Linked DNA regions of Coturnix japonica. The protein of the gene in region 2 purifies or fractionates together with the protein of the main gene of each other region. This does not show direct contact. Links are inferred from orthologs where the notes say so. Each region holds a gene or a part of one and is shown on either strand. Other genes may lie near its edges.

Region 1 (4,871 bases), on a different chromosome or scaffold from region 2:
CCCCCATGTCTGTCCCCAGGTGGGTGAACTCCCTGCAACCCGCCCGTGTGACACGATGGGGTGGGATGATCTCCACGCCGGATGCTGTGCTGCAGGCCGTGATTAAACGCTCCCTGGTGGAAAGTGGCTGCCCCACATCCATCATCAACGAGCTGATTGAAAACGCCCACGAGAGGAACTGGCCTCAAGGCCTGGCCACGTTGGAAACCCGTCAGATGAACCGACGTTACTACGAGAATTACGTGGCCAAACGGATCCCAGGCAAACAGGCCGTGGTGGTGATGGCCTGTGAGAACCAGCACATGGGTGAGGACATGGTGCTGGAGCCGGGGCTGGTGATGATATTTGCACACGGAGTGGAGGAAATATAAATGGACGTTGGAAGAAGCGATGCTTTGTGCTGAGGAGGGGGCTGGGACCGAGGCCTGGGGTGGATGCTGCCAATGGCCGGGCTCTGCTCACAGCTGGATGAAACGATTCCATGTCCCCCCCCCTTCCCCCCAAGTCCCCCTTATAACCGCTGCATCCACCCCAGCCCACCCCCCATTTGCCCCCTGCAGCTCCATATCCCCACTTGGTGTCTTCAGAGGGGGCAGAGGAGGCACAGCTGCACCCCGGGTACTGCTGGGCTGCTGCCCCATGGACTTCCAGCCCCATGGACTTCCAGCCCCATGGGCTTCCAGCCCCACGGATGCTCACGCTGTGCCTGCAGCCCCCCCGGCTGCCTCCCTTGTGCTCTCTGCCCTATGCTGCCTGTGTCTGTCCCAGGGGGCCAGGCCTGGCCTCCCTCTCCCCATTTAACCCTAAAGGCAGAGCTGGGCATTTATGGGCGAGGGGGAGCCAATGAGGGGGGGGGGTGGGGGGAGCAGGGAGGGGGTCTGGCACCACCCTGGGGGGCAATAGGAGCCCCCTCTGCCCCACTGCTGTTCCTCTGCAGCCACTCGTGCTCGTGGTTCTGTATTATTTTGTACTACTCAGCCTTCCCCCACCCCTCCATTCTTACCCCCCCCCTCCATTCTCCTCCCCCCCCCTTTGATTTTGGAGTGCCACCGATGGCTTCATACCCCCCCTTACCCCCCCCCATTCACCCTATGGGACTTTAATTTATTCTCATTCGTTACGTTGGTTTTTTTTACGGTCCTCCCCCCCCCTTCCCCCTATTTTCCGCTGTCTGTACGATGCGGTTCCGGGTCTCCCCCCCCCTTGTTGGTGGGGGGGGGGGGGGGGGGGGCGTTCAGCGATCAATAAAAACGGCTGTTCTGGTTTCTGTAGCGAAGCTGTGGCTGCTCTAGGAGGGGTCGGGGGGGGGGTCACACTAAAAGGGGCCGAGCCTTTCTGAACTGCTCCGTGTTATACAGAGTCCCACATTAAAAAGGGACCCCCCCCCCATTAAAAGATAAAGCTCCGTCACGGACAGGATTCGAACCTGCGCAGGGAAACCCTATTGGATTTCGAGTCCAACGCCTTCACCTCTCGGCCACCGTGACTTCAGCGCCTCCCTCATCCGCGCTCCGCCTAGACCCGGCACACCGCCCCCATCCATCGGGTCCTCCGTGCCGCCAGGGGGCGCTGTGTTCACTCATCTCCATTCGGCCTGCAGGGGGCGCTGTGCACACTCACCCCTGTTCTGCCCGCAGGGGGCGCCGTCCTGCAGTACCCTTCATTACCGGCAGGGGGCGCCGTCCCGCAGTTCCCTTCATTACCGGCAGGGGGCGCCGTCCCGCAGTACCCTTCATTACCGGCAGGGGGCGCCGTCCTGCAGTACCCCTCGTTACCGGCAGGGGGCGCTGCGTCACGTCACGGCGGGGAGCGGCCCGGCCCGCTGGAAGATGGCGGTGCGGAAGAAGGACGGCGGCCCCAACGTCAAATATTACGAGGCCTCGGACACCGTCAGTCAATTCGACAACGTCCGCCTTTGGTTGGGCAAGAACTACAAGAAGGTACGGATCGTTCGGGATCCCTCATAGGCCTCACGGCTCCGCTTTACACGGAGCCAGGCCCGAGGCTGAGCCCCCTCCCGCAGTACATCCAGGCCGAGCCCCCCACCAACAAATCGCTGTCGAGTCTCGTGGTTCAACTGCTGCAGTTCCAGGAGGAAGTGTTCGGGAAGCACGTCAGCAACGCGCCGCTCACCAAACTGCCGGTGCGTGACTGGGCCGGGCGGACAAAGGGACCCGCAAACCCCGCAACCCCCCCCAGGGACACCCCAGGACCTGCACGACCCGGCCCCGTAATGCCCTGGGTTGGGGGGGACACATGGGACCCCCCCCCCTCCCTTTGGAGGGGTCTTTGTAAGACCCCCCCGGCCCCAAATGGCCCAGCTGGGGTGGAGGGGACACATGGGGACCCTCCCCCTTCCCAACCCCCCCACCCCCTTTGGAGGGGTCTTTGCAAGACCCGAGGCACCCCCGGACCCGCAAGGCCCGGCCCCGTAATGCCCTGGGTTGGGGGGGACACATGGGACCCTCCCCTTTCCCAACCCCCCCACCCCCTTTGGAGGGGTCTTCCCCACCCCCATCCCTTTGGGGAGGTCTTTGCGAGACCCCCCCGGTTCCAAATGGCCCAGCTGGGGGGGGGGGGGGACACATGGGGACCCCCCCCCTTCCCAACCCCCCCACCCCCTTTGGAGGGGTCTTTGCGAGACCCCCCCGGCCCCAAATGTGGGATGACACGTGGGGACCCTCCTCTTCCCCCCCCCCCTCCTTTAGGAGGGTCTTTGTGAGACCCCCCCGGACCCGCAGGGCCCGGCCCCGTAATGCCCTGGGTTGGGGGGGACACGTGGGACCCCCCCCCCCCTTTGGAGGGGTCTTTGTGAGACCCCCCCGGCCCTGCAATGCCTTGGTGTTGGGGGGGACACATAGGGACCCTCCTCTTCCCCACCCCCGTTCCTTTGGGGTTGTCTTTGCGAGACCCCCCTGGCCCCAAATGGCCCAGCTGGGTGGGGAGGACATAGGGACCCTCCCCCTTCCCACCCCCATCCCTTTGAGGGGGTCTCTGTGAGACCCCCCAGGCCCCAAATGTGGGATGACACATAGGGACCCTCCTCTTCCCCCCCCCCCCTCCTATAGGGGGGTCTTTGTGAGACCCCCCCGGTCCCATAATACCTTGGTGTTGGGGGAGATACATGGGACCCTCCCCTTCCCCCCCCCCCCCCCTATAGGGGGGTCTTTGTGAGACCCCCCCGGTCCCATAATACCTTGGTGTTGGGGGAGATACATGGGACCCTCCCCTTCCCCACCCCCCACCCCCTTTGGAGGGGTCTTCCCCACCCCCATCCCTTTGGGGAGGTCTTTACGAGACCCCCCCGGCCCCGCAATGCCTTGGTGTTGGGGGGGACACATGGGGACACCCCCCACCCCCCACCCCGTTTGGAGGGGTCTTTGCAAGACCCGAGACACCCCCGGACCCGCAATGCCCTGGGTTGGGGGGGACACATGGGAACCCACCCCCCCACCCCCCTTTGGGGAGGTCTTTGCGAGACCCCCCCGGCCCCAAATGGCCCAGCTGGGGGGGGGGCACATGGGGACCCTCCCCTTTCCCAACCCCCCAACCCCCTTTGGAGGGGTCTTTGAAAGACCTGAGACACCCCCGGACCCGCACGGCCCGGCCCCGTAATGCCCTGGGTTGGGGGGGACACATGGGACCCTCCCCCTTCCCAACCCCCCACCCCCTTTGGAAGGGTCTTTGCGAGACCCCCCCGGCCCTTGGTGTGGGGGAACACATGGGGACCCACCCCCCCACCCCCCTTTGGGGAGGTCTTTGCGAGACCCCTCCAGCCCCAAATGGCCCAGCTGGGGGGGACACACATAGGGACCCTCTTCTTCCCCCCCCCCCCTCCTTTAGGGGGGTCTTTGTGAGACCCCCCCGGTCCTGCAATGCCTTGGTGGGGGGGGGACACATGGGACCCTCCCCCTTCCCACCCCCCACCCCCTTTGGAGGGGTCTTTGCGAGAGCCCCCCAGGCCCCACACGGCCCAGCTGGGAGGGATGGACACATGGGGACCCTCCTCTTCCCCACTCCCATCCCTTTGGGGGGCTCTTTGGGGCTGGGGTTGGGCGGGGGGGTTGTTGGGGTGGTCGCCCCCATGGCATGGAGCAGGGACAGCAATGGGGACAATAGGGAGAAGGGATGAGTCCCAGTGCTGCCCGCTGTGGGGCATTGCCTGCTATGTATGGGGTATTGCCTGCTGTGGGGCACTGCCCGCTGTGGGGTATTGCCCGCTGTGGGGCAGCCCCCCCCCCGAGTCCTCCCATCCCCTTTTCCAGATCAAATGCTTCCTGGATTTCAAGGCGGGGGGAGCCCTGTGCCACATCTTGGCGGCTGCTTATAAGTTCAAGAGCGACCAAGGATGGTGAGCGGCATCATAGGGAGGATGGGATGGAATTAAGGGTGGTGGTGGGGTTGGGAGGGGGGAGGCAGAGATTTGTCTGCTCTATGGGGCACAATGGGGGCGGTTACAGCCCTGGGTTGGGCAGTGTGTTGGCTGCCCATCTGTGGGTCACAGCCCCATACACAGATCCCTGTTGGGGTGTCCCCCCACCCCCCTTTAATGGGTAAAATGGGGCTGAGTGATGAGGAGACCTGAGCTGTGGCTTTCATGAGAGTCGCTCTTTTCTTCCAATAAGGCGGCGTTTCGATTTCCAGAATCCCTCGCGGATGGATCGCAACGTGGAGATGTTTATGACCATCGAGAAATCCCTGGTGCAGGTGGGAGCTGCTTCCCTCCCCTCCTCCCCACCTCCTCTATTTGTTCCCAGCTCTGTTTAATCCTTTGCTTTCCTTCCCCAGAACAACTGCCTGTCCCGGCCCAACATCTTCCTGCACCAGGAGATTGAGCCCAAGCTGCTGAGTAAACTGAAGGACATTATTAA
Region 2 (4,198 bases):
TATCTCTAAAAACTAGTAAATGTGCTTAGGGAGAGTGGTTGAAATTCTGCTTAGTTAGGGCTGAACTGTCAGTCTTCTGGAAATGGGGAGAAGAGGATTTTTGCCTCAGACTGTCTGAAAAATGTGAGAGTTCAAATGTAAAGCAAGTCTGGAAATAGATAAAACACAAGAGAATGTTTAGAAGGATTGGAAGAATAGGTGGCTTAACACAGTGGTAAATGAGGCTACTGAAGTGTGTACTTTATAATGCTGACAATCAGAGCAGTTGAAAGGTGACAAATGAGAAGTTAAAGAATTGGGAATGCCTGTGTTATGTGTTATTGAGCTCCTTAGACTTGAGAAGAGAGGGTGTGTGGATGAGCAGTGAGAGTGGCATTTGGTTGTGTACGTCTGTCAGCATTGGCTCCTAGGGAATACATAGCTCGAGTGTCCTGCTCTGTGTTGGATTGAAGATGTTGGCTGTTGAGGTTGTTTCTGTAGTTTGCTGTAGCAGGGGATCCAGTGTAACGCTTCTGCAGCCTGCAGAATTTGACCTGCAGCTGGATGTATTGGCCACGGTTCTGTAATAATTTAACACCACTGAAAGAACTGTTCTTCTCATGCTATAGCCTTAGATGAAGGTGAGGCCTTTCATTTAGGTTAGACGAGTTATTATTTAAAGCTGCCTGTGGAATGTAACCCAGCTTTTGTTGATGTGTTGGTTCTCATTGAAACTGTGAAGGTGTGATGAAACAGAAATCAACCAGGAATACCGTAACCTGAAGTGTCCCAAATGAACCATCGCTGTTTTGCAGATGAGAAATCTTACTAGATGAGGTATATTTTGGACAGAAGCGAGGAGTGTGCCTGTGTGGTATGCACATAATCTGACTAGAAAGCTCTGATTGAGTAGCCTAAAGGTAGTGTTTAGTGCTTGGCTGCAGCAAGGCACTCACTATTACAACTAAGAGCGCAGAAGTTTGACAGCAATTGAGGCATCCAGTTACTGCCTGCAAATGAGACTGACTAGTTCTGAGTGTAATGCAGTACTCTATCTGTAGATTATGCTGTCCTCAAACAAGCTCCAACAGCTGTCAGCTTGAAATGATATAGCTGATTTGAGGCTTATATTTTAATAACTGAAAGTATCCTGATACAAACTATAAAACTAGAAAGTGTATGTATATATATGTATATACACACACACACATATATATGTATGTATATATATATTAATGGCTATCTTTTCTTTGGATCGGTTTGAAGTATAAATAGGGATGAATGCCAGACATAGCAAAAGCTTCAGCATCTCTCCTGATTTTTTCTGTGAAGTAAATGTCCTGATTGGAACTGAATGAAAGGGTGTCAGAATTCAAAACAAATAGAACTCTGGTACCTACAAAATGAGATTTTAAATATCCTGTAATGGATTTTGAAAGACATGATGATTTCAGTTAGTGATGTTTAGGAAGGTTGATTATTGGTAGGCTGTTGAGTTGTTGGTAGAGCCATGGAATAAACTCATCATCAAACTTTGAAGTGGATTTGAGATCCATGTTGTGAACCACTACCTGAATTGTTTGGAGGTGGAATGCCCTATAGTATAATGGCAGATATAGATAATGGAAGATCCCAAACAAGGAATGTTTTCAAGTAAAACCTCAATGCTAATGTGTTTGTTTTGGTTTGTATTTTTAGAGATCAGACGAGAATCTCCAATTGTGTGCTGAGCCTTCTGTCTGGTGGAAGTCATGTCATCCATATTGCCATTCACTCCACCAGTTGTGAAGAGACTTCTTGGGTGGAAAAAATCTGCTGGTGGCTCTGGAGGGGCTGGTGGTGGTGAGCAGAATGGGCAGGAGGAGAAGTGGTGTGAAAAAGCAGTGAAAAGCTTGGTCAAGAAGCTAAAGAAAACGGGACAGCTGGATGAGCTCGAGAAGGCCATTACCACTCAGAACTGCAATACCAAGTGTGTGACAATACCAAGGTAAGTCCTGTTGCGTTCGGCATTCCTTACAACCACTTAAATGACTAAATGGATGTTAATTTGTGTGAACAAATTAATAACAGAATCAGTTGCATGCCTTTGATTCTTTAAAAAACTTTAAAACCTGTTTTAGTTTTATGTACTGCTTGCTTCAATTCTTTGAACTGAATCACATGCTTTGTACATTCACAATTTCTAATACGTTTACAATTCAGTTTTTATTACTACCTGGATTCCAGTTTGTGTATGTTCTGGTGGTGCATCTAGTGCAGCTCTTTGCTCATAACACTGCCATATGCTTCTACTTTATAACTCTCTCTGTATTTGGAGAGGCTTACTTGAACATGCACTTCCACATTAAAACAAACAAAAAAAGACTAGTTTTTCCTTGGTCAACACTTCAGTCCTCTTAATTGTAATTTTCAGTTGTATATGGAAGTTTTGTTGAAGTTTTACAAACTGCATCCATTTTCCCATTTGAAGGGAAACATTAGTGGAAGTAGTTTGTCTGAAGACTAATTACTATTTTTATTGGTTCATGAAAGTGCTTTTCATTTAATAACTTAAGAGTACTTTTAGATCTTCTCTTCTGCTCCCTATATATATGTATATTTAGGTGAACAGCTCGCATTCTACCCCTTTGACTTTCTCAACTTCATTCATTGCAACTGCTGTGCGAGAGGCGAGGGTTGTTTGTTAAGTGTATCTGTAGGTTCATGTTGTACAGAAATCCCACTGAAGGTGTGTGTGTAAGCGTGTCAGGGGTGAACCATGAATCTCAAATCACTATGGTGTGTTTCTATAAAACTGTAAGAAAGTCTGGTGACAAGAATATTTTGGACATTTAGCCCCCTGACACTTGAATAGTTTCTAAGAGAGAGAAACTGCATATTTTATGACCTCAATTTCTGTCTTATTAGCACACTGATCCCAGCTACTTTTAAGCTTTGTTTTAGTCGTAGTTCCATCTACATTCAACTGATGTCAGTAGTGGTTGCTGCCTATCAGATGTGTTATGGCTGTTATCTGATCATGGCTTTAGGTTTGACATAGCTTTTTCTGTAATCTATACACATGGCTCCTTTCATTCTGTCCTCTGTTTTCTGTTCACCTTTTGTTTCTAATGTCACCTCCCACTTGCATTTTCTTTCCAGACTGTCCCCAAATTTTCTGGGTTTCTTGTCTGTTCTGTATAGTTGCCTTGTTGTGATGGGCAGTTCTTGCTGGATTGTGATGGACTGTCACCTATCCTTGGGTCAGCTGAAGGAGAGCTCACATGTTTTACTTTTCTTGACTACTGTATGAGTAAGCTGGTAGCTGGAGCTCTTTGGGGGGTGTTGGCATAAGGTTTAGTTTTAAACTTACAAATGGCTTTGATGCTAACAGGCGAGATGATATCAGTACACAGACTTCATCTTCATAGCTGGCTTTTGGACCGCTGCTGTTATTTCACTTTGACATCAGTAGTCTGGGTTCCCAGGAAAGACCAAATGTCAGTTCAGTACTGTAATGACTTCTGGAGTTTTTTGCTTATGGATTTAGTAAGCAAATTAAAACTTCTGCTTGAGACCCATTCCAGCGAATTTCTTAAAGGTCTGCAGTTCAGCAGGGGGTAAACAACAAAGGGTTGACTAGAAAACATTTTGTTCCTTCATTGTGGGCAAGAGGTTTGGGGTGCTCAGTTGCTGAAGTGCACTTCTGTCATGAGTAGAGGCTTATTGTTTCTGTTTTCGTTGCTGGTGTTTGACCAGTTGTAGATTGAATCTGTGATAACTGCTTAACTCAGTATATTGGCGAGTGCTGTGAAGATGCGCCTTTGTGGAGCTGTTGCTTCATACCATCACTAGTATACTTCTTTTCATCCCCTAACTGATAGTGGGTTGGATGGGACTGAATAAAGCTGCCCCTTCAGAAATCTGCATACACACAGCTTTTGATAATCCCATTGCGTTGTTCTGTTTCTGGCTGTTTGTCAAGGTGACCACACAGAAAGTGGGGCTGATGCTGTGTGAGCTACCCAAGCTGCTCGTGTGAATTACTACAACTTCTTACGCAGACTAATGGAGGTTCTGAGAAAGCAGAAGCAAACAGATGGAGTGGGTGTTGGCATCACGCAGCAGGGATGCTGAGCTCCTCAGAAGTGGGTCAGTAATGTAGAGCAGAGGCTAAATAAGTGCAGAGGTCCATTTCACACCAGCCCTTGGAGTAATTTGGAGTTATCTTGCTGAATCC

Evidence for each region. The genes of interacting proteins can lie anywhere in the genome.
Region 1: the proteins of SMAD2 (region 2) and SMARCC2 purify together in Homo sapiens (affinity purification with mass spectrometry; 3 studies listed by BioGRID, with this or other methods). This does not show direct contact. The link is inferred for Coturnix japonica from reciprocal best matches to the Homo sapiens genes SMAD2 and SMARCC2.

Annotation. Positions count from the first base shown.
Region 1 is NC_029544.1:895,569-900,439, reverse strand, and holds the start of SMARCC2 (SWI/SNF complex subunit SMARCC2), read left to right. Parts: upstream 1-1,785; 5' UTR 1,786-1,829; coding exon 1,830-1,940; intron 1,941-2,023; coding exon 2,024-2,143; intron 2,144-4,259; exon of another isoform or gene 4,260-4,265; coding exon 4,266-4,351; intron 4,352-4,625; coding exon 4,626-4,707; intron 4,708-4,788; coding exon 4,789-4,871. Other genes in the region: RNF41 (E3 ubiquitin-protein ligase NRDP1), read left to right, coding at 20-371. UniProt on the Homo sapiens protein: Involved in transcriptional activation and repression of select genes by chromatin remodeling (alteration of DNA-nucleosome topology).
Region 2 is NC_029547.1:1,320,394-1,324,591, forward strand, and holds part of SMAD2 (mothers against decapentaplegic homolog 2), read left to right. Parts: intron 1-1,677; 5' UTR 1,678-1,730; coding exon 1,731-1,966; intron 1,967-4,198. UniProt on the Homo sapiens protein: Receptor-regulated SMAD (R-SMAD) that is an intracellular signal transducer and transcriptional modulator activated by TGF-beta (transforming growth factor) and activin type 1 receptor kinases.